3 linked regions of the Caenorhabditis elegans genome follow. The protein of the gene in region 3 interacts with the protein of the main gene of each other region in a pairwise test. Each region holds a gene or a part of one and is shown on either strand. Other genes may lie near its edges. The genes, in order: ech-8, C05G5.5 and dhs-14.

Evidence for each region.
Region 1: the proteins of dhs-14 (region 3) and ech-8 interact in a two-hybrid assay, tested with the Caenorhabditis elegans proteins (one large-scale study listed by BioGRID).
Region 2: the proteins of dhs-14 (region 3) and C05G5.5 interact in a two-hybrid assay, tested with the Caenorhabditis elegans proteins (one large-scale study listed by BioGRID).

What each region holds. Positions count from the first base shown.
Region 1 is NC_003282.8:10,234,210-10,241,914, forward strand, and holds ech-8 (Enoyl-CoA Hydratase), read right to left. Parts: upstream 4,968-7,705; 5' UTR 4,906-4,967; coding exon 4,843-4,905; intron 4,312-4,842; coding exon 4,156-4,311; intron 4,106-4,155; coding exon 3,962-4,105; intron 3,914-3,961; coding exon 3,794-3,913; intron 3,749-3,793; coding exon 3,322-3,748; intron 2,995-3,321; coding exon 2,873-2,994; intron 2,827-2,872; coding exon 2,729-2,826; intron 2,674-2,728; coding exon 2,490-2,673; 3' UTR 2,417-2,489; downstream 1-2,416. Other genes in the region: ech-9 (Enoyl-CoA Hydratase), read right to left, coding at 18-444, 491-610, 656-790, 839-994, 1,039-1,101; lipl-7 (Lipase), read right to left, coding at 5,115-5,192, 5,696-5,807, 5,856-6,337, 6,705-7,072, 7,353-7,455, 7,509-7,595.
Region 2 is NC_003284.9:14,754,284-14,764,689, forward strand, and holds C05G5.5 (Metalloprotease TIKI homolog), read right to left. Parts: upstream 6,839-10,406; 5' UTR 6,681-6,838; coding exon 6,591-6,680; intron 6,176-6,590; coding exon 6,067-6,175; intron 6,012-6,066; coding exon 5,844-6,011; intron 5,789-5,843; coding exon 5,684-5,788; intron 4,269-5,683; coding exon 4,072-4,268; intron 3,344-4,071; coding exon 3,137-3,343; intron 3,087-3,136; coding exon 2,884-3,086; intron 1,976-2,883; coding exon 1,792-1,975; 3' UTR 1,772-1,791; downstream 1-1,771. Other genes in the region: sucl-1 (Succinate--CoA ligase [ADP/GDP-forming] subunit alpha, mitochondrial), read left to right, coding at 226-603, 725-896, 1,025-1,245, 1,471-1,533; Y16B4A.2 (Carboxypeptidase), read right to left, coding at 7,753-8,124, 8,169-8,288, 8,336-8,447, 8,494-8,562, 8,609-8,751, 8,803-8,922, 8,970-9,096, 9,143-9,405 and 4 more.
Region 3 is NC_003283.11:2,761,350-2,767,914, reverse strand, and holds dhs-14 (DeHydrogenases, Short chain), read left to right. Parts: upstream 1-2,714; 5' UTR 2,715-2,720; coding exon 2,721-2,757; intron 2,758-2,807; coding exon 2,808-3,235; intron 3,236-3,281; coding exon 3,282-3,452; intron 3,453-3,692; coding exon 3,693-3,896; 3' UTR 3,897-3,934; downstream 3,935-6,565. Other genes in the region: cror-2 (DeHydrogenases, Short chain), read left to right, coding at 412-451, 494-921, 1,224-1,394, 1,438-1,644; dhsl-4 (DeHydrogenases, Short chain), read left to right, coding at 4,736-5,005, 5,329-5,523, 5,602-5,772, 5,820-6,026.

The sequences.
Region 1 (7,705 bases), on a different chromosome or scaffold from region 3:
TTTAAAAATACACTCACTAGTTTTCCGTCCGTATCTTTTCAGTCTCCACATTTCCTTTTCAATCGGATTCGGCTCAAGTCCATTTTCCTTTTTCAACTTTTCCATTACATCAAATCCATTCATATCGGCAACAGTCATTGGTCCCATCAAAAATCCAAAATTCGTGATAATTTTATCAATTTGATGTGGAAGGTATCCATATTCATACATTAACTTCTGACTTTGATCAAAATAAACATGAAGAAGCCTGTTGAATACAAATGATTTACAATTTCCAACAAGAACCGGAAGCTTTTTTATTGATTCACATGCTTGAAAAGCAGTTGCAATTGCCTGTGATGAAGTATGAGATCCGTATATTATTTCAACCAATCGAATCACATTGGCAGGATTGAAGAAATGAATTCCAACAAGATTGCTTGGGTCGCGGAGAACTGATGAAATCTATAGATTTTAAAGTTAGCAATTTCTCGCAAAATTAAGGCTCTACCTCATTCAAATCCAAGCTTGAAGTATTTGTTCCAAAAATGCAAGTTGATTTGCAGATGTTCTCGAGGTTGGCGAATAGTTCCTTTTTCAATTTCATATCTTCAATTACTGATTCAACAATCTACAATTTTACATTTAAAAAATGTCGTTAAAGTATTTAACAAACAAGATCGCAATTTGAAAGCTTATGGAAATCTGATGTTATTTTCAGATTTGCATTGATTTTTTCGATTCTTTTGTCGTTTAATCTCTTGAATGATTTTTCCCGAGCATACATAACTTCCAACTCTTGCTTGCATCTCTGAAAATAAAAATACAAATTATGTTTTTTTTTAAAGATCTATATCACCTGCTCATTTCGTACTACCAAAAAAGTTTCAATTCCAGCTAAACCAAAGCAGATTGCCATTGCCTTTCCCATAGTTCCACCGCCAATAATTGCTACGGAATTTACATCATAAGCTTCAGAATTCGTGTGATCACCTCGATCATTTGGCAGAGACCACTGGAAGTATACAATTCAAATAATTTAATTGGAAATGAAATCACCTGTCCCGCCAAGGAATGAGCTTCCATCAAATAGCTTCTGACTTCTTCTGGAACTTTGCCCATTTTTTGATTGTTTTCAATTCTGGAGTATAAAAATTTAATCGGCTGAACAACATTGTTTATACAAGTTTAAAAAATGTTTGAAAAATTTAAACACGATACAGTTAATATTTTTTCAGAGTTTTCAGACCACCCTTTTATAGGTACTTTTCATTTGTAATATATCACGTTTTTACTGCCCACTTTTCCAAATATTTCGTTAGTGATAACAAAGAGGATTTTGTCCCGACATTTCGTCCGTGAAGTTCCCGGACAGAAAATGATCTAGTCGATGTTGTCACTGTCTGTTTGTTGATTCATTGATGATAAGAGCTGATGAGACTTTGGTGCTTTCAGTACACTGTCGTCTTTGTTTAAGAGTAAAACACGAAATTCCGTCTAGATCTAGATAATTCAAAAATCAAGTGCAAACATGTGCCTTGTGAATATTTCTGTGTATAGTTTATTGTTTCTTATCTGTATATGTACATACATATGTGATTTATTTGGAGTTGTTTACTAAATTAAGATGTTAGGCTATAACTTGTTTTGATACTTTGAAAAACATCCAATTTTCATAGCGCAGCATATCGTGAGATTATTACGATATCCGAACAAAAAACTATCGCCAACTTTTTTGAAAAATAATGCAGATGGACGCGTATCTCTGGTAGGGCTCAACAAAGTGTTGTCTGAAATTTTTTAAAGGTGGATTTTGTACAGAAGTTGGCTTGAACTGAAATTTTTAAATATAATTATTGTGCCCTACAGAGTACAGCTAAAAATTTGAAGTTTATTGTCGGTCATATCGAGCACCAGAGGAAACACTTTTTTCTTGAAAAAATGTGTGTTCTACCTATTTACCAAGTATTTTTCGTTTTGATATCAAATTTTTAATCCCAACACAATCAGTAATATTTTTTAATACAAAACGTCATTTCAGCAAGGCAGTCTTTATGTTGATTTTTGTGATTCTGTAAGGCAACATTTACTTCCACTTTCTTATCAATTTTCAAGCTCAAATGTCTAAGAGTAAGGGTTGATTTCATATGACAGTGCTTGTCCGGTTGAAATACGAAAAACGCCCACAAAATCCATGTTACTGATAATAATGATAAGTGTACAATTGAATGTCTCAAGATCCGTTTTTCGCTAAATGTACCGTACTTTTATTTTTATAATTATTATTTGTGCACCTCACGGGGTTTATCCAAAAAAATACAGAAGACATTTTAATTTTCAGAATTAGAGATGGGCAATTGGTCTTGCAGATTGATTTGCATCAAACTTTCGACAAAATTTATAATCCCCAGCATGTCATTTCTTGTACATAGTAGATCAATTGTATACAGGGTATTTATTTATGTTTTTACAATAATCATCTCTTTGAACATGGTAACGAACTACAAAATTTATAATTTCGCTGCAAAATTCTTCCTGTCCACATTTTGCAACGTGGCCGCAACTTTGTATGTTCTATCATTTGGTTCTAAAGAATTCCAGAGAATAATTGTGCTCGCAACTTTTTCAATTCCTTGAAGCCATCCAAATCTCATCGGACCACCAGTAGCAACAGGCCATCCAAACCCGAGAATGCTGAAACAATTGTGCTCATAATTTTAATTTTTTTTTGAAATTAAGTTTTACTTACAACATGATATCGATCAAACTTTCATGATGGATGATTCCTTCCTCAATGCACAAAAGACCTTCGTTGACCATGGGATACAAGAGGAAATTGACGGCATCCTGGTAAGTTTTCGGTTGAATTTGAATGAAATTAGAAAGTGAGTACCTGATCGTTCAAAATTTGTATATTTGGACTTGCAGCTGAAGAAAATTTTCGAATGAGCTGCTCCATTTCTATATCATTCTCCTTTTTGTGAGTATTTGGATCATATTTGTAGTATCCCTTATCTGAAAATTACACCTAAATTGGTAAAAAATATTGGGCTTTTCGTGACAGTTTTGAAAATCTTCATTTTGAAAAAATAAATTGAAAACAATAATTTCCGGTTTTCCTTCTGGAACGTTCAAAATTTTGATTGGCACTTATCATTACCACTGAAAAAATATTTTAAAAATTTCAGACTTCAGCTTGTCAAATATTTCAAACTTTTCTTATAGCCGGAGCGAAGGTATTTGTTTTTTAACCTATGTATAACTATTTGCCGCTGGTGATACTCCAAAGAAATTGAAATTATCCGTTTCTCAGTTCATTTCACAATTTATTTAAAGACGTACTTGTTTTTCTACCGTATCTCTTTTGTCTCCAAACTTCCTTTTCAAAATCACTTGCTGGCCATCCATTCTCCTTTTTCAACTTTTCCATTACATCTAATCCATTCATATCAGCTACTGTTAAAGGACCCATTAGGAATCCAAAGTTTGTAATGATTTTATCAATTTGATGAGGAAGATATCCGTATTCATACATCAACTTTTGACTCTGATTCAGATAAACTCCAAGTAGCCGGTTAAATACAAATGCTGGACAGTTTCCCACAAGAACTGGTAGCTTTTTGATAGATCTACATGCTTCAAAAGCTGTAGCAACTGCTTTGGAGGAAGTTTTCGATCCGTAGATCACTTCAACCATTCGAATCAAATTTGCCGGATTGAAAAAATGAATTCCAACTACTTTTGTTGGATCTCTAAGTACTGATGACATCTGAAAGTGAACATGTTCTTTTGGAATAGTTAACTTAAAGCGTACCTCATTCAAATCTAAACTTGATGTGTTGGTTCCAAAAATACATGATGGTTTGCAAATTTTATCAAGTTTAGTGAAAAGTTCCTTTTTCAGTTTCATATCTTCAAAAACGGCTTCTACAATCTGAAATTTTTCTTTTTTTTTCTTTTGAAAATAAAAACAAAAACTCACCAAATCACAATTATTTAGCTTTTGAAAATCTGTAGTTATCTGTAGATTTTTTCTCAATTTTTCAACTTTTGAATCGTTCAGTCTTCGAAATGCTTTTTCCCTTTTGTAAGTGATTTCCAATTCATTTTTACAGAATTCGGCAGCCTGCAAACAAGTTTAACTGAATTGATATTATTTTTAAACTTTATGGCTACCTTATTGTTAACTTCGACAAGATACGTCTCAAATCCTGATAAACAAAATGCGATTGCAATTCCTCTTCCCATGGTTCCACCTCCAATTACAGCCACTGATTTGATTGGAATTGATTTCGAATTTATGTAGTCACCGCGATCATTTGGAAGAGACCACTGAAATGATCAATTTTCATATTCTGATGTAAAAAAATTGTGATTTTCAGATATTGTTAAAGCTGAATGCTGAAAAACTTTGCAAAGTGTAAAAATGCGCGTTTTTCTCGAGCAAGTTCTTCAAAAATTTTGGCAACTGACTAATCAAGGGATTTTCTTGTTTATTATTATTTTTCACCACAACTTAGAATTTTGCCATTGAATCATATAGTCGTGCTCTTCGATATTTGAAAAATACTTTAAAAAAATATTATTCCGATGTTTGCCGGATGAACTAATATTTTATATTATCAATGAAATCGAAATCTGTAACTTCAGCTATTTTCTGTTCTCTATATACTATAAACGATATCGTTTTAGTGATTTCTACCATTGCTCAATTCAAAATTCTGCCGAAAAGTGGTCTTCCCTCACTGAAAAATACCAAAAACAAACAATTCACAAATCTACAGAGTGCCCACGGATACGGAAAAGCGGAAAATAACTAATTTCTCATTCAAAAAACTTTATTATTTTAGTTTTCAAAGTTACCTGAGCCGCCAATTGATGAGCCTCCATCAAATAGTCCCTCACTGCTTGTGGCACTTTATCCATTTTTCTGAATTTCAAAAATCTAAATTTCAAAATAAAACCAATTGTAACGAATTAAAAGATCTAAAGAAATTGCATTGATATATGCCAGATGTGTCCCACGTTAGCGATCAATTGATAAGAAGAACATTGTAGCCTATAGGTACATTTTGGCCATTAAAACAACAATAAAACACGGTTTTATTTATTTTTGAAAAAAAATCGATGAAAAATCATAAATGTTTCTTCAATTTGTGCATCCGAGTGATTCGATATTTGTTGTAGTCATCTTGGATAGTTTCGATGATTTTCTGGAATAAATTTGTTTTTAAATAACTCCTTATTATGTAATTTCAAAAATAAGAATATAACATTAAGAACAACCAAACCCGGCATTTTGGAAAATTTGGACCATTGCTCAAAAACGAAAAAGTGGGAAAATAAGGAATTGAAATATTTTGGAACTCTATTAATTTATGTTAGAGAGAATTTCTGCAGAAGCCGTTCCTTTTCAAATGTTTTCTGTTCAATGTCTAGAAAGAGTGACCACATTTTGAATACACCTTGGCCAGAAATTGGTCAAACTTTGCTCGGAACGTGTTACAGATTTCAAATATGAGGTGACCTAAGTCTGACCCACCAACTTTCATTTTTTTTAACCTTCCAGAACGCACACATGAAGTCTTTACCAAGGCCTGATCAAAACCAAATCAAAAGGTTTTACCAAAATTTGACAAAGTGTAAATATTACAGATGCGCGGTCTAACGTTAATGAAAAGATATTATTCAGTAGGAAATTTGATTTCAGACTTACCGGATATAAATCAAATGCAGCATGCGTACCGAATACAAAATCCATATGACTGTAGTGTGGAAGTTCCAGTGATCCAGCGATTGTTTTATTCATTTTTGACAGAATCGAGTCTCTACAAATCATTCATTTAGTTACATCAAAACTAATATAATTGATTAACCGAATATCTTGAGTATCAGCCAAAATGTCGTCACGACTCCAATAGAGATAAGTTGGTGTGTTGATCTGTGTCAAATCATATTCCGGAGGAGTAGGTTGCCCGTATTCAATGATATTTCCATCAGTTCCATAATCAAACTTAGAAACAGTCTGTGATTTGACAAGTTGAATCCAGTGTTGCAAATCTTTTACAGAAGTGGCTGCAGGTGTATGACAAAGATATACACCAACTCTTGATTGATTGAACATTTTCTCATTTCCATCAATGAAACCGATGTCCAATGTACAAATATTTTGCATAAAGAATCTGCTGCACATGTAACTTATCATTTTTTGAACAGTTCGCGGAATTGACAGTGGAGAGTATGGAAGTCGACCGAGCAAGATTTCTGCATAAGTTAGAAACTTTGTCCCAAACAATCCAAATAGACCACCGATATGGGATACTGTTGCAACTGGAGCCAATGCATGGAAATGACGAATCTTAAATTATTGTTGCTTTTGAGGAGGTAAAGAAAGACTAAAAGCATATTAACTGATCGTATGTAACTTTCTACAAAGAAAATGTTTGTTAGCATACAGAAACTATAAATATATACTGATCGTGATTTTCAATTTTGTGCAAAGCATGAGCTTGAGAAACAAATGTTGGATTACGGCAACTACATAAGTAGTCACAACAAAATGTACTGTTTGTAACTACAATACCCCATAATACGAGTAGTCATACAAAAACATGTCAAATACATCCTTCATCGCACGGGTGCCGAAAAACTGTCTGACTAATTATAATTAGAAACGAATTAGATTTGTTTTAAAATTCTCTGTGTCTAGCAATAAATTGAAATACCTTCTTTGCAAATTCTGGATTTTCTGCAAGTCTTGAGAACATAATCATAGTTCCTTGTGAGTGTCCCAAATAATATAAAAACTCTTGTTTTGTCTCCTTCAATACCAAATCCACACTCGCTGTCAAATCAAATTCCGACATTTGTTGCCACGTGAAATTCCAAAATTTCTGATTTTCCGGTCCATAGCCAATATGTTTTTGTGATGCAGGAGTTCCACGGCTATTTGCAATCCAAATATCAAAACCTGCATCGGCGAAAACAAAACCAGCCGATTGATTTGCTAGATTCGGAATCCAAGAGAATCCGTCCGCAAGGAGGCCGTGTTGCATGAATACTATTGGACGTTTTGAGCTTCTGTCACATTTTTCTGAAAAATATTAGAGATGATATCAAAGGTAATTCACAGCAAAATTCAATGTATATTAAATTATTCAAAAACTTCTTTTTTTTGTTGACAGTTTGGAAATTTACCAATACTGGAACAAAGAGAAATCTGAAATTATTCATTTTGTTTAATCGGCCATGTTAAAAATCAATGAGAAAACTTGTACAAAATCTCTACTGCCGATACTTCATTTTGAAGTTTCCGTTTACGAAATAAATTTAATTTTCAAATGTCACATTTTTAACTAAAATGACAGACTTACCATTTTGTTTACATGGGATTCTGTGAAGTTCCAGAATATACTCATCCGTTGTTCTCACTAAATGTACTTCTGATTCATACCCAAAGTGTTTTCCTATTTCTGGCTACAAAAAAATTTGTTCTGAGATTAATAAAATAATTTTTCTCAAAATCTTACCACAGTCATGTAACATTCATCGTCAATAGCTAGACTTAAATTTATAGAAAATGAGAGTAAAATCAAAAATAAATCGATTTTTGACATGAATCAAAAAACCTTGGGAGGAGAGGTTATATGGCAGAGCAACAGGATGAGTGTTGGGTCACACCTGTTGTAACAATTACCACCTTGGACATGTCAATAACATATGTTGG
Region 2 (10,406 bases), on a different chromosome or scaffold from region 3:
CGCTTTATGCAAAATAGAGGTCACAACTCAGCTTCATAAAAAATTACATCTTAAAATGAAAACGCCTGTCTTCGCAACTCACTTTAAATTCAGTGTTTTCAAAGTTCAACGGCTATAAAATTTTAATGTATTCAGATATGCTTTTGACGTCAATACTTTGCGCATAGCGAACTCTTAAAATATCGAAAATATGTATTTCAAAAAAAAAATTCACAAAAATTTCAGGGTACCTTCCATGGAAAGCAAATGCTCGAGTACAACACTAAAGTCGTCGGTGGAGTAAATGCCAACAAGGCCGGAACAGAGCACTTGGGACTCCCGGTCTTCAAGAACGTCTCCGAAGCTCGCAACAAGACCGGAGCCGACGCCTCTGTCATCTACGTTCCAGCCAGTGCTGCCGGTAGCGCCATCGAGGAAGCCATGGACGCCGAGATTCCATTGGTGGTGTGCATCACTGAAGGAATCCCACAACACGATATGGTCCGTGTTAAGTCGCGTCTTCTCAAGCAGAACAAGACAAGACTTGTTGGGCCAAACTGTCCAGGAATCATCTCGGCCGATCAGTGCAAGATCGGAATCATGCCAGGACACATTCACAAGAGAGTAAGTTATAAATATTGTTGTAGAACCCTTTAAAATCCTTCTCAAGTGAAGTTGAACTTCGAAAACATGTTCAGAAATTATCAATTAAAAATTTTATCAAAACTGTTTGCTGAACTTGTAGGGATGCATCGGAATCGTCTCCCGCTCAGGAACTCTCACCTATGAAGCTGTGCACCAGACTACTCAAGTCGGATTCGGACAGACTTTGTGCGTCGGAATTGGAGGCGATCCATTCAATGGAACAAACTTCATCGACTGCTTGAACGTCTTCCTTGAGGATCCAGAAACTAAGGGTGAGCTCATGTTTCATGAAAATAATACCCTAATGTGAACTCAAACAATGTGATTTTGTATTTATCAGTACCCAGAGTAGCCAGTAAAAATTAAAAAAAAAAAGAATATGAAACCAATTATTTTCCAGGAATCATTCTCATCGGAGAAATCGGAGGATCAGCTGAAGAGGAGGCCGCCGCATACCTTAAGGAGCACAACTCGGGAGCCAACAGGAAGCCAGTCGTCTCATTCATTGCCGGAGTCACAGCTCCACCAGGCAGAAGAATGGGACACGCCGGAGCCATCATTTCGGGAGGAAAGGGAACCGCTGCTGACAAGATCAATGCTCTTAGAGAAGCCGGAGTAGTAGTAAGTTTTTACGTTTTTCCAGAATAAAATTTAAAGCTGCACTTTGAAGCTTGGGATATACAGTGTTCTGTTGCAAAAGTTGTCAAAATAATCTAGAACATTTATGAAGTTACACCTTGTTCATGACGATTTACCTTAGAATTTAACTTGAAAAGTCAGCAGGTTTTTAAAGATATTTTGAAAAATTAAACTTGGTTGCTAAAAAAATGCCATAATTTGTTTCAGGTTACCGACTCTCCAGCTAAACTTGGAACCTCCATGGCCACCGCTTTCCTGGGAAAGATCTAAACAGGAACCCTCGCTGATTTAATACTCAACTTGTCTCCCTCCCCCTTTTCTGTAAGAAAATAGCTTACACACTTTTTAGTGATCTTGCGTTTTTAATTTCAATATTTCTATGACTTCTCTCTTTTTTCTCTCTTTCTTGTCTCTTTTTCTCTAATTTTTTAATATGTTTGCCTCTAGATAACTGTGTGGCTGAATTTTTCCGATAAAATGGAAAAATTGCAGTTGTCGCAAACCAATTGATTGAAAGTTGAAAGTTGTTCATGGGAAAATGGCAAAGATGGAATGTAAAAGAAAAATACACGGAACTAGCCATAATCTAGCAATTCGACTGGACGATGGTGCTACTTCTTCGATGATTATTGATTTTCGACGAACTGCGGTTTCCTTGGTCCATACACGTTTGAACTTTGCGGTTTGACGGTAGGGAGATCGTAGGGGTTGACTGAAAATTTGCAGATCAAGAATCAAGAAGAATGTCGGTGGGTTAGATATGATTTCCAAACGCCGTAAAGTTTCATTCGCATGCGGTTTTCAAGTTTGGTAAATCGTCTGATCACGATGCCCATAAACCGCGATCATCTTTCAAAACATTATTGAAACACTAATTTACCAAATTTTAGAAAATCAAAATTTAATCAAACCGATTTTTTCTGCTGCATTAAAAAATTTTAGCAACTGGACCTATGTATCTTTTATATAGTTTCTTCCCTTGTTTAAATTCTGATTCCTATAGAAAAAATGTAAGGCTTTACCTAGGTACCTACTGAGTTACTAAGAGCTTTCTTCCTTCAACTTTGAAAAACTGTTAAACCAATTTTTTTCGTTATTATTCAATGTAGGTCTCCCTTGAGATCGCCGCAACGGTGCCTCTGCCGGCTTCACGGCGTCACTCAAGCCGCATGTATTCGAATGCATAGTACCGCGCGGTCCCCGAACACGCCGGCCGCTTCCAAAAAACTGTTTCTTCGCACACACCAAGCTACTCATTTCACGCCAAGCTGCGGAACCCGAGCGTGTCGGCCGCTCCAAATAACTACCTTTAGCATTTCATTGCGCACTCACAGCGGCGTCGGCGTAAGGCCGGCGTGAGGCCTGCATTTCGCGTCTCACTCAGCTGTGAGCCCTAGTTCAATTAAAAAAGAAAAAAACAAGCAAACATCCGTAAAACAAAGCAGTACTCCACATTGCATTTGTTTTACTCATTAATATTTTTGAATGATCTAATTTTATTTTTATCCACAGGTCTATTTTTAAAAACGTATTTATTTGGATTTTCTGTGTTTTGGCACATTGTAAAATTTCAAATGTTAGTCTCGATTACAAAATGGAATAAGTAAAAGAAAAACTCACATCACATCTGTATTTTTTAACTTCTGAACTATAAATCCGCTCTCTTCAAGATATGTTAACACACTACTGCTTCCAAAAAAGTGTCCAGCGCCTATTGCAGAAAATACAGTGTTACTATTTCGACCCTTCAAAATCTTCTCTATCCGTTTGGCCATTCTCAAATTTCGTTTTACAAAAATATCCTGCTTCAACTTTTTGTTGATCTGTAATTGTGAACATTGCAGCGTGTTTAATTTGATTTTGACTCACTCACCTCGTCAGCTTTAAACCGTTCTGTTGTTCCAGTTGCATAGTCAATTATAGACATTCCATCTTTATCAAACATATCTTCCTTCAGAGTCCCACACTTATAATGTTCGACGAGCTCTTTCAAACTGCTTCTAGACTCATTATCCTTTGATGGATTGTCCAAGATTTTATCTTCAAAATAGTGCACAGTATGCTCTATTGCAAAGATAATCTGTAATAAAACAAATGTGACTCTAATATACCATTCGTGTTTTTCAGTAGGGCTGGCACATGGGACGTCAGGAGCCCGAACCGGACGCACATGCGTCCGGTTTTGGAAAATTGAAAATGTTCCGAGGTGTAGGCTTTCACGGCGGCCGACAATTTCCGAGTTTAGCCACTTATTATAAAATTCTATGATTAAGTATAGTGAGTGGCTAAACTCAGAAATGGTCGGCCGCCGTGAAACCCTACACCTTTGAAAATTTTCAAATTTCTAAAAACCAGACGCCGTGCGTCCGGTCTGTCAAAACCGGACGACCGGACACCAAATATGCCAGTTCTACTTTTCAGTAATTTCCCGGCATCCGCTACTTCTTTTTAAAAAGTTCAAAAAACTTTTCTTTGAACTTTTTTTTTGATAATTGGTGCAAACAAAAAACCATGCATCCGTTTTAGCACTTGTTGAGCTAAAATGAGCAGCATAGTCTTTTGTCCCGGTAAACCCCTTGCTTTCACACTTTTCCACATTCATCATAACGACACGACAATTATCTTTCTGCCATATTGCGCATTCTATTATTCCTGCGACTAATGGACCCTTCCTACTTTTGAACCAGTACTTGACACGTTATTGTTTGCGTTCACTAACACATTTGTCTTTTATCGGTGTGAATACACTCAGAATTATGAAGTGCTTCCGGAAATCTCACGATGTCCAGAAGGAAAAAAAACACTAACTTCATTGGTAGAAACTGAAACAACTGGATTGCATTGCTCCTCGGCGGTTTCAATCGGGATAATTGTCTTCTTCTCGTCGGTGGCTCTTTGTGCAATGTACAAATCTAGTAATGGACTTGAACTTTTTTCAAACACATTTTCGCACATTTGATAGAGCAGAAATAATAACCAAATTGGGCGTTTTCTCCACCAATCTCCTGAAAAACATTCAATGGAAAGGAAGAAAGGAACACAAAATACAACAAATCTATTTATCTTGTACACCGTATTTAACCAGCAGAAGCATAAGAAAATATGAAAAAAGGTGCACGACTAATAGAGATATTAACTTATGAGGTTGTCAATTTTTGTATGAATTATTCAAACATATTAAACTTTTTGAATGTCACTTGAGCAATCTCCATATTTTTCAATTCAATTTCTGATTGTGATATGGTTTTTATTAAACTTCAGTACTTTCTGAAAAAGTCTTTCTGATCTTGCAGGCACATTTTTAGCTGGAATGGAATAAATATATAAAAAAAAATATATAAAAAAATGATAAATGTTCAGTGTGTCATTTTCTCGTATAGTTTCGAGGACTGAAAAGTGTGATGATTTGGAGCATTTTGGAAGTTTGTCGGATTTTATTACAATCTGAAACGTCTTTCAGACAACTAGATCAAAACATTTTTTTGTTGGAAAAACTGAAAATTTTTGTTTTCAACTCTATTAACATACATTTAAGGTCAATCGACGACCAGATTTGACCAAAATTTGGTAACTTCTGGTTGTACATCGACCTTCAATGTACCGAAATCGAGTCGAAAACGCACGATAATTAACTGTTATAACCAACATTAGACCGCGATTTCTAAAAAGTTAGTTTCCAGCCGCTGCGACATTGACAAGTCGGTCAAATTTCAAATTTTAACAAATTTTAGGTCATTATTTGAGCTGTCATAACTTTTTTTTGAGAAGTTTTCAAGAAGTTTCATTATGAAATGCGGTGTTTTCAGACAATTTTGAGTCTAACAAAGCAATAAAACATTTGACTACATCACCTTTAAAAAATACCAAGTTGTTCATAAGTTCACAAATAATCCTGACGCAGAATTATATATGAAAAAAATTCTTCCGGAAATTGTTTCAAACATTCTATTTTCATTAAAACATAACCTAAAACAAGTTCATATCAACTATGTTCAAGTTCAAAATGTCCCTCTGTGACTAGATACTATGAGTGTGGCAAAATGAAATATTTTTTTCTTACAGGAATAAGATTGATGTGGAAATTTAAAAGAAAGAAGGAACATTTGTTTTCTTTACAAGCATCATTCTTTTCGACAAAAATTAGTAGTATTTCATTACTGTGGTTATTGTATTATGCGCCGTCGACACTATTATCTCTGCACAAAAACATTGCATCACAATGTTACCTCATTGTCTCAAAACACCCGTGAGGTGCTAAAATCATCTGGTCTCATATTTACCATCTGGTAGCTATTTGGTCTACTATTTGGGCTGACTCTCGTGAACAAGCCACTCGAACAAACGTATATTTTTGAGAGTAGAAAGCAAACACGTGTTCCGCGTACTAATACATATAAAGGACGAGAGAAGGTGGAAATACCTATGATATTGTTGTAGATATCTTCAGCATGCTTTATCTTCTTTGTGTCCCGTGGATTTTGTTTCTGGGCCCAGGCAAGGAAACTTGAGCGAAGATATTCCATAACTAGAATATTTTTTTGAGATTTTTCAAATGAAAACTTAATAAATTATTCACTCACTTTTCTCTATTCTTTCCAATAATTCAATGGAAAGATAAGAGTGCACAGTCTCATCATATGCCAAGTTCTTACAAGCTATCAACTCATGAATTGTTGCTTCATCATGTAAATCAATTTCCAAGAGAACTGTGTCTGACACCGCAAATGCATCACGCACTCGGTCGCTCACTGAAAATATGAATTATTAGTTGGCGTCATGACTATTTCATTTTGATCTTCCTACCTTCCTTCCAAACCTCGGTGAATGGCACATGAATTGTACCAAAAAGATATCCCTGAGATGATGCGAACTGGGGATGTTTTACTGACCACAAGAATATATTTCTTTCCCTCTGAAACAAAAATATTGAAAATTATATTAGATTTTTATTTGACTTGTTCTTGTAATTTTGATAGCTTTTTATACAATTTTTATACAAATTGGAATCCATTAAGGATTTTTACTCAATATTCAACTTTTAAAATATTTAAATTTTAAGATTAATGAAAAAACAGAAGATGTAAAACGAGCAGTATTTAGCTCTGGGCTTGTCCTTCTTATTAACGGTTTTAGTCCTAAAACCCTATTTCGAATTAAACAAAATTTCACATTGATTTGCTGACTATTGTGAGCTAGATTATTTTGAAGGAAATATACCAGTAACCTGGTAAGTACATTTATTTTTACAGTTCTGATGTTTTGAATGAGTTGTCGGAAAACTAGCATTTTTGAAACCTAAAAAATGTAATAAATCAGTGAAACCTCACCTGTTCAACATCGGTATCACAATCGGACTGTACAACAGTTACTAGAAACAATGATAAATATAAAGATACAACTAGTATATAAAAGGTCATCTCGACGTGTCAAAAATGCGAATAGAGTAGACAGAAGAGTAAGTAGTATCTCAAAAAGCTTTCAAAAATAAATAAACAAAAGAGACACAAAAGCGGACTCCTACAGCAGTTGGTGGTGCGGAAGAAAAAAGAACACGACAGAAAAGGAAGCAAAGTTTTCGGAGGCGTGAAAAGGTGGTGGTGGTAGCAGCTCGAGACGGAGCTGGCAGGGTGCGTTTACGCATCCGAGGGCGGGGTTAGGTGTGAGTGTGGTCCACCATATTGATCTGTCTTGTGATGTGCACTGTTTGAATAAACACCGGTAGGTATTGGTGAGCGATGGGAATTGTAAACTATTGGACATACGGGAATATGTTTTCTTGGTGGAAATTCATTATATGTACCAACTTTTAAAAAAAGTTCTTATGAAGTAATGTTTGTGGGCCTTTTTGCCTTAAATGGCACAAAAAACAAAACAACAGTTCATAGACTTTATTTTAAAAAATGTAATGATTTTATTAATTTTGGTGTAAATAAGGGAGCAGGATAGCTCAATCGGTAGTGGTAACCGCTAGCAATCTGGAGGCCACGAGTTCAAGTCCGGCCTCACCACCAGGATCACCCAGCCTCTATTGGGAAGTGGAGCAATCTACGACCGTATTATCGGCCACAATCCGGAATTATTTTTAAACTCCAGTGGAAATGAGTGTGTTTTTCCGGTCTATATTCATCGGGTTTTTTTCTTTTCTTTATCTTTGTTGTTTTATCATATAAAACATCATTTGTCACATTCAAAGACTAAAGACTCACGTTATAACTTTATTTTCATTTACAAACTTTCAGATGGCAAAAAACCCACAGACACTACTTCTTCTCCGAAAATTAAATAAAAAATTTTTCCAAGTATATTTTGGTTTAAAAGTTGCCTAAAATTTAATAACTTTGAAAAGCATGACCATAATAAAGCCATATGCATATGTATTACATATCTCAAATAATTTATAATAGTATAATGAAGTATTTCTATTTAATAATTTATTTGGAATACAATGTGCATAGACAAGCAAAATTAATAGATACAAGTTTTTTCCATTTAATTGAACAATAAAACTGAAAGAATTGTAGCCATAATTGTCAAGACTCCTCTGCCTTCAGCACCTTTAGTTGTTGTAATAATTGGTTGTGTAGTTGAAATGCCGTTTGTTGGTGCTGCTGTTACTGTAGGTCCAGTTCCTGGTGTTCCTGTAGTACCGGCGCCTGGAGTGCTTGGCGTTGTTGTGGTGGTTTGGGCTGCTGTTACTGTAGGTCCAGTTCCTGGTGTTGTTGTGGTGGTGGATGTTGTTGTTGTTGTAGTAAAATTGCTATTTAGATCGAATGGAGTGTTGTAACCTCTGGACTTCACAAAGTTGTAGATCATTTGAAGAGCTTGCTGTGGACGATCAAGTGGCACGAAGTGACCGGAGCCCTGGAACAAAATTATGAGTAAATATTAATTCTTAAAAAGCATACCTTAACAGTGAGCACATCAATATTAATAGCGTTTGAAGTGTACGAAGTTTGGTATCCAGCAACTGTTGGTTGGAAGGTACTGTTATATTGGAATGTCCATTGAGCTCTTGGGCTTGATGTCTGAAAGAATACTGTATTTAAAAAAAAAGTATATTTAAAAAAAATACAGTAAGTCCCAATGCCGCAAAATTGTTAGCTGTGAAAATTTCTGCACCAAGCCAGTTCACCATGGTGTCAGCATCACCACTGTATAAAAGCATCTTAAAGTTTGCAGGAGCGCTGAAAACTATTTTTAGTAGGTTCCAAAAACTAATATTAAGTGTACTTTGCCATGATGATTTGAAGATTTGGAACAATGCTATCCACTTGCTGATTGTAGGCATTAATAATGTTGCTGAAATTTCAAATAGTTTTTTCAAAATCTTAAATTAGGTGCATACTTGTTAGCAGCCCAGTATGGAACGGAATCTGGAATGTTGAGTGCTTTTCTAACAACTGGACGGTTCAAGTATCCCTCCATCGCGCTGTCATCATAGCAAGGGTAACCATTCAAGAAATCGGACGATTCATAGTTGATTCCGGTCTTAAAATTTGAATAAATAATTTTTTTCTCAAACTTTCCGAATGATCTCACCCAAGTCTCTCCGTATGGAGTACGTGGAGTAGTATCATTGTACGGAATAGTCCAGCATTGTTGGTACATGTTATATGGATCAAAAGCGGTCAACAGAAGTTGAGCTCCAGTAGCGACGACCTGAAATTTAATTTTGTTTCACATATCATGAACTCGAATAGAATTACAAAGTCGTAGCATGGATCGCTCAAGTCTCCCCAGGGAATCGAGTTGTTGAAGTTTGTCATACGGTCGCTGAACCTGCACTTGAACTCATCTCCAGAGCAGCACAACTGCAAGGCAGTGTTGTAAGTCCTGCAATAAAAAACATATACTAAGTTACGATAATCCGGAAACATACGTTGCAGAAATTCCACCATGATAATATTGGTAATGAAGTTGAGAATTCATGTCAGTTCTCTTGTCGATGACTCCGTTTCCAATGGAAACTCCCTTGTAGTTAATATTAATATCGCCAGATTTGATTCCTTGTACAAGAAGAGCAGAAAGTCCTGGGAGATAAACTCCAGCATAGGATTCTCCAGTGGTGTAGAAATCAGATGTAGTGTATTGAGGGTATTGAGCAAAGAAGCTCTTGAGAGCAGCATAGTTTTCTTGAGCGGTCTGCAAGAATTAATTTTAACTTGGAGTTTGAATTTTTAAAGGTTCTTACCGTAACATCATCATACTGAATGTTGGTGTTGTTATAGGCATAGGAATACCCAACTCCAATTGGACTTTCCAAGTACAAGACATTAGCAAACTGAAAATTTACAGTTGATATGTACATATTGCTAAATATAAAAACTGTTTGTACCTTGTTCCATGAATATGGGTTACGAGAAAGTGTCTGCGAGTCCTTGCTAACACGGAATGGACCGTTCTCTTCGAACAATCCCATCAAAGAACTGGATCCAGGTCCACCATTGAGCCAGAGCAAAAGAGGATCGGTTGATGGGTTGTTTTCAGATTCAACAAGCCTATTCAATTATTAATATGATTCAATACAGCCCAGTAAACTGTCTTACCAATAATGAACCTTGTGTCCTGAAAGTCCATCCAAAAATCCGGAATATTGCTTAAACAACATATCAGCTGGAAGACCAGGCAGATTAATGATACGATCAGTTTGTCCAGTTGTGCAGTTAGTTTGAGAAATCACATTGGTCAGAGGCTGAGGGGTCACATCAATCTGTAACGACGGGTTGACTTAAAAATATTATATCAATAAACTCACTCCAGCCGGAGTGCTGTAATTAGCCTGATTGCTCAAGAAATTGGTGAGCATTTGAAGAGCTTGAGCTGGACGATCAGAAGGAACGAAATGACCTGATCCCTTGACAGTGAGTTGAACCAAGTTTTGAGTCCAAGACTTGGCATATCCAGCAATGGTTGTAACGTATTGGCTTCCTTGTTGGTAGTACCATGGTTGACGTGGAGAAGTTACCTGAAAAGTCTGATGGGTTTACAAAATCTTTTTTGCATATACTTTTATTTATCATTTTCAAAAGGACCTTAGGTTTTATATTTCAGACTTTATATTTCTTTCAAAATTTTCGGTACAACAGTCCATACAGAGTATGAAAACCTGCTAAAGAATGTAATTTTCCAGAAAAAATCGAATT
Region 3 (6,565 bases):
TCCTTTCGATATTTTCATCGAATTTTCTTACTTTTCAAAAGATGTACGAACAGGATGCACGCAATTTTTCCGATTGAAATTAAAATTCTGAAATTTCCAAAAAAAAATGTGCAAAACCACAATTTGCCGATTTGCGGCAAAATTTTCAATTCCGGCAATTTTCCGATTTGCCGGAAAAAATGATTTGCCGCCCACAGGTACAGACGACAAAATTATAGAATTGTGTAAAAAATAACACTCACCACGCTTCTTGCCAAACGTTTTTCTTTTGATAAAAAGATCACATAAACTACGACTTTTATCTAGTTTTATCTATTGCAACTGATACGTTAGGACACAAAGCACACTTTGTAAGATTACTTAAAAGAAATTGAGAGAAACTATCATTTATTCGTGTGTTTTCTGCTGGCCATGCTTTCTCGATTTTCTGGCAAAGTTGCACTTGTCACCGGTAAGAATTGTTCTGTTTTATGTTTCGAAAATAGAGGTTTAGGCTCGTCAAACGGAATTGGGCGTGCTGCAGCTGTTCTGTTCGCAAAAGACGGAGCAAAAGTTACAGTTACTGGAAGAAATGCTGAAAGGCTTGAAGAAACTAGACAGGAAATTTTGAAGTCAGGAGTTCCGGAAAGTCATGTTTTGTCGGTTGCAACTGATTTGGCAGCTGAAAAAGGTCAAGATGAACTAGTTAATTCTACAATTCAAAAATTCGGGCGCCTTGATATTCTGGTCAACAATGCCGGAGCAGCTTTCAACGACGATCAAGGACGTGTTGGAGTTGATCAAGATGTCTCAGTTTACGATAAAATTATGCAGATTAACATGAGAAGTGTGGTTACTTTGACTCAAAAAGCCAAGGAGCATTTGGTTAAGGCTAAGGGAGAAATTGTCAATGTCTCGAGTATAGCTGGAACAGCTCATGCGGTAAGCTAGGTTAAAGCATATTATGACCTCCGGTAGTTTTTGCTCTGGTAAGACTTAATGATCTAGGAAAAATTAGATTTCGGGGAATTTTATTACTCGCCGCTGACTTAATTTTAGAGTAGTTTGATCAATCGAAAATCAGTTTTGCAAATCGAATTATTGCCTGGTAGCCTAGTAGGAGTGAGCGGCAATCGGCGATCGGCGATCGGCGATTTCTGTAATTTTTCGGCCTGTTGCTCAGCCCTGCTGGTAGCCTGGATTCCCGTCCCCAAATATGAGTATTAAAATTTGCATGTTTCCAGCAACCCGGAGTTATGTACTACGCAATGTCAAAGTCGGCTCTCGATCAATTCACCAGGTGTGCAGCCATCGATCTTATTCAGTACGGGGTACGCGTGAACTCGGTGAGCCCGGGAGGTGTCACTACCGGGTTTGGAGAAGCTATGGGTATGCCGAGTGGGGCGTTTGAGGAGGTGAACATAAGACACAAATTCCTAGAATTTTTCGAGTTTTCAGATGATGAAGTTTATGGAGTCCCGCAAGGAGTGCATCCCTTCTGGAGCTGTAGCTAAACCAATCGATATTGCCAATATTATTGCGTTCTTGGCTGATCGTAAGCTTTCTTCCTATATTATTGGGCAGTCGATAGTAGCTGATGGAGGATCTACACTGGTCTTGGGAATGAATGCTCACAACTGGGCGGATCTTATGAAGCAATCTTAAATTTTGTTGGATTTAGTGGTGAATAAATATTGGAACTAGTGATTTTGTTGTACAAAACAGGGATGGACGGCAAGCTATGTTTTCCGGCAAATTGGCAAATCGGTAAATTGGTAAATTGGGAGAATTGATATTCCGGCAAAAATTCAAATTGTCAGAATTGAAATTTTCGGTGAAACGGCACACTGCGGGAATTAAAACTTCCGGCAATCAGGCAAGTCGTCAAGCTGCCGGAATTGAAATTTCCGGCAAATATTCAAATTGCCGGAATTGAAAATATCCGGAAAAATGGCAAACCGGCAAATTGCCGGAATATAAACTTCCGGCAATCAGGCAAATCGTCAAACTGCCGGAATTTAAATTTCTGACAAATCAGCAAATCGATAAATTGCCGGAATTTAAAATATTCGGAAAATCGGCAAACCGGAAAATATTCGATTTGCTGAATTCGCCGGGAAACGGCAATTGCTAAAAATTGTCGGCAAATTGTGGTTTTGCAAATTTTTTTTTGAAATTTTAGAATTTCAATTTCAATCGGCAATATCCTGTGAATGTTCCTACATACAATTTAAAAATTAAGCAAATTCTATGAAAATTTCTAAAGAAAACGGGGAAAAAAATTTAAAAAGGCACAGTTTTAAGTGTTTCCGTCTTATAAAAAATCCCTCTAAAAACGGTAAATCGGCATTTTACCAATAGTCAAAATTTCCGGCAAACCGGCAAATCGAAAAATTGCCGGAAATTAAAATTTCTGGCAAATCGGCGAATCGGAAAATTGCCGGAAATTTAAATTTCTTTAAAATCGGTAAGCCGAGCGGTAGAGGGCTACATCGGGCATGTAATGTAATCGTGCAGAATAACATCGGTCAAAAAATTGGTTCGAACCACCAAAAAAGGAATTTCCATTTTTGTGGTATCAAAAGTCTAGTCATTATTTATTGACATAATATTTTTATTTTCTTATCAATATAAGCTGCCACAGTTTGCTTAAAGCACATCACAGACCACATTTCAACAAAAAAATCACGCAATAAAAGCATTGATTATCAGTATCAATATTTAATTTCTACACTACTGCTATGACTCGATTCTCTGGCAAAGTTGCTCTTGTGACAGGTATTTTTTTCAAATTTATTTTTCTTCATTTTTATAATGAATCATTGAAGGCTCCTCAAACGGAATAGGTAGAGCCACTGCTGTACTTCTGGCTCAGGAAGGAGCAAAAGTTACGATTACTGGAAGAAATGCTGATAGGCTTGAAGAAACTAGACAGGAAATTTTGAAGTCAGGAGTTCCGGAAGATCATGTTTTGTCGATTGCAACTGATTTGGCGACTGAAAAAGGTCAAGATGAACTAGTTAACTCTACAATTCAAAAATTCGGGCGCCTTGATATTCTAGTCAACAATGCCGGAGCGGCTTTTAATGACGATCAAGGACGTGTTGGAGTTGATCAAGATGTCTCAGTTTACGATAGAATTATGCAAATTAACATGAGAAGTGTGGTTACTTTGACTCAAAAAGCCAAGGAGCATTTGGTTAAGGCTAAGGGAGAAGTTGTAAATGTTTCGAGCATCGGAGCAGGACCACAGGCTGTTAGTTCCTTTTCTCTTCACTTTTTTACCCACTTCTGTATTTTAGCAACCAACTTTCATGTATTATGCAATGTCAAAAGCCGCATTGGATCAATATACCAGAAGTGCTGCCATCGATCTTATTCAGTACGGGGTTAGAGTCAACTCGGTGAGCCCTGGAGCTGTAGTGACAGGTTTCGGAGAAGCAATGGGAATGCCTGCTGATATGCATGAGAAGGTGAGAAGCCTCATAGTAGGCAGGCACTTTTGCAGATCTGCCTACTTAAAATACAAATCCTTGACACGTCATTTTACCAAAATTTAGTTGTAGGAAAATCTGATTTTTTACCACTTGTTCAAAAATATTTTGAACAATCTTTTTAAATCTTTTTAAATCTTTTTAAGCAGGAAGGTAGGTAGGTGAAGCCCAGGGTAGGTTTTACAAGCTCTTAAAATTATTCAATTTTCCATTTTTCAGTATGGACATTTCATGGAATCTCGCAAAGAATGTATTCCTTGCGGAAAAATGGGGCAACCCATCGACATTGCCAATATAATTGCGTTCTTGGCTGATCGAAAACTCTCTTCATACATTATTGGACAGTCGATTGTGGCAGATGGAGGTTCGACTTTGGTAATGGGAATGCAGGCACACAATTTTATGGATCTTTTGAAACAATAATTTTTGTATACATTTTTTTAAAAGTAAATTGTTTTATTAAAGTTTTTAACAGGCAACTAAAAAAATTTCCGTTTGAGTTAACTTTGACGGATATAATCCACAAACATGAGCCTAGAGTAAAACCTGAAGTGAAATTAAAAAATAAAAATAATTCCTATGATTTTCCCGTATTTTTTCAGTTTTGGAAAAAATAGCTTTTGGTCAAATACTGCAATTTTCTCTAACAACCTTCCGTACAAGGTAGCCTACTTTGTTTAACATTTTCTGGTATAAATTACTATTGACAGATCCATTTTTAAAAACATGCTTTATTGGATGCCACTGAATCTGAAAAAAATATATAAATTTTAATTATTACGCTTAGGCGGTATATATATTATAGGCTTATCCTTAGGCTTAGGCGGGGCTGGGGGTGGATAAAAATTGAGACTCTCCAGCGAGAAATTGGAGTTTTGAACCTGAAAAAAATCTTGAAATATGAGAACTTTTCGGTTAGACAAAAATCTAGCTCGAAATATTTCACTCTGTTTTTGAAATTCTTATCTATTTTTCTTCAGTTTTCCTGTAGAATGAAAAACAATTTTTCAAAAAAAAACATATCTATTCTCATTGAACAACTTCACAATTTCCAATGGAAAATACACTCTTTTTCACTGTGCTGGAACAATTATTTGTGTCATTCGCAATTTTCGATCTCTCGGACACAAAATCTGCGTCTCATCAAAACCCTGCGTCTCTCTGTTTTGTTTGACACTACGGCAACTACGAAAACAATGTCATCACAAAACCAGAGAGTATAAATAGTCAGCATTTAATCGGATGGGTACAATTTCCAAAAAATGCCACGTTTTTCCAACAAGACTGTTATTATCACCGGATCTTCCAACGGAATCGGACGTACCACTGCTATTCTCTTCGCTCAGGAAGGTGCAAACGTAACGATCACCGGAAGAAGTTCAGAGCGTCTTGAAGAAACTAGGCAGATTATTCTGAAGTCCGGAGTTTCCGAGAAGCAAGTTAACTCGGTTGTTGCCGATGTTACTACGGAAGATGGGCAAGATCAGATCATCAACTCGACTCTGAAACAGTTTGGGAAAATTGATGTTTTGGTGAGTAATTTTTGAGTTGAATTTGTTTTTAACAGTTAATGAAAATTTGACGGCCCGGTAGATTTTCTGAAAATTGGAAATTTACGTTTGAACAATTTGCCGTAAGGCGGTCGCACGCGCGCTTTATGTACAGAGCGCTTGATAACCCTGAAGAAATCTGCTGAAAAATTTTTTTATATCGACGATTTAACATGTATTGATAATTTTTTTGAGGGAAAATATATGGAAATTAAACAAAAAAATGTAGTGAACGAACTATCAAAACTAGGTTTTTCATCTGTGCCGGTGTCCAAAGAGTCTCGGATTTAGATCTATAATTTCAGGTGAACAATGCTGGTGCTGCAATTCCCGACGCATTCGGAACAACTGGCACAGATCAGGGCATTGATATCTACCACAAAACACTAAAATTAAACCTTCAAGCCGTCATCGAAATGACTAAGAAAGTGAAGCCACATTTGGTAGCCTCAAAAGGAGAAATCGTTAATGTTTCAAGTATTGTTGCAGGCCCACAAGCGGTTCGTTTTTTTTTAATTTTGTTACCAGGAGTTTCAAATTTCAACAAGCCTCCAATTCAATTAAAAAATTATTTCCAGCAGCCCGACTTCTTGTATTACGCAATTGCGAAGGCAGCCCTTGACCAGTATACCAGAAGTACTGCGATCGACCTCGCTAAATTTGGGATTCGTGTGAACTCAGTTAGCCCTGGAATGGTAGAAACCGGATTTACCAATGCTATGGGAATGCCTGATCAAGCTTCTCAAAAGGTTTTCTGAAAATTTTCAAATTTCTCAAATTGTAATTTGTTGTTCAGTTCTACAATTTCATGGCATCTCACAAGGAATGCATCCCAATTGGAGCCGCTGGAAAGCCTGAGCACATTGCGAATATTATCCTATTCCTGGCGGATCGTAACTTGTCATTTTATATTCTTGGTCAATCAATTGTTGCCGACGGAGGAACTTCTCTTGTGATGGGGACACAGGCTCATGATGTTATGTCTATTATGAGCTCGCATTAATTGCTATGAAAATTTTAATTTTAATTTTAGAAAAAAGTTATTTTTTCCAATAAAACTATATTTGAATTTTGAAACATTATACATTATGCCTGAATAGGGCTTTTATGGGAGGCAGGCGCAGTTTCAGGTTCTCCCGCCTGCCTCAATTCTGCCCGCCTTCCGCTGGCCTCATCGCCTCAATTCTGCATTCTGGCGTGAAATGAACAGCTTGGTGCTTGCACCACATAGTGCGAAACGTGGTTCTTTCGCTGCGGCTGACATTTTTGGGTTCCGCGCCGCACTACACCGAAGAAGCGGCCTGCGGCGGGAGGCAGGTGGTTGTCGCTGCAAGTTTTTTCCATTATATGTATGTAAATCGAGATGTTATTTTGTTATTTTTTAGAAAATTCTGAAAATTTGTAACAAGACTACTAGAAAACATTTGAGAAAATAACTTAAATTCTCACGCAAATAGGAAGTGGGCTGACCAATCAGCAAAAAGCAATGGGCATGGCCAACGTCGTTGATTGGTCGACACCTCGTAACTTAAAGGTGGGGCT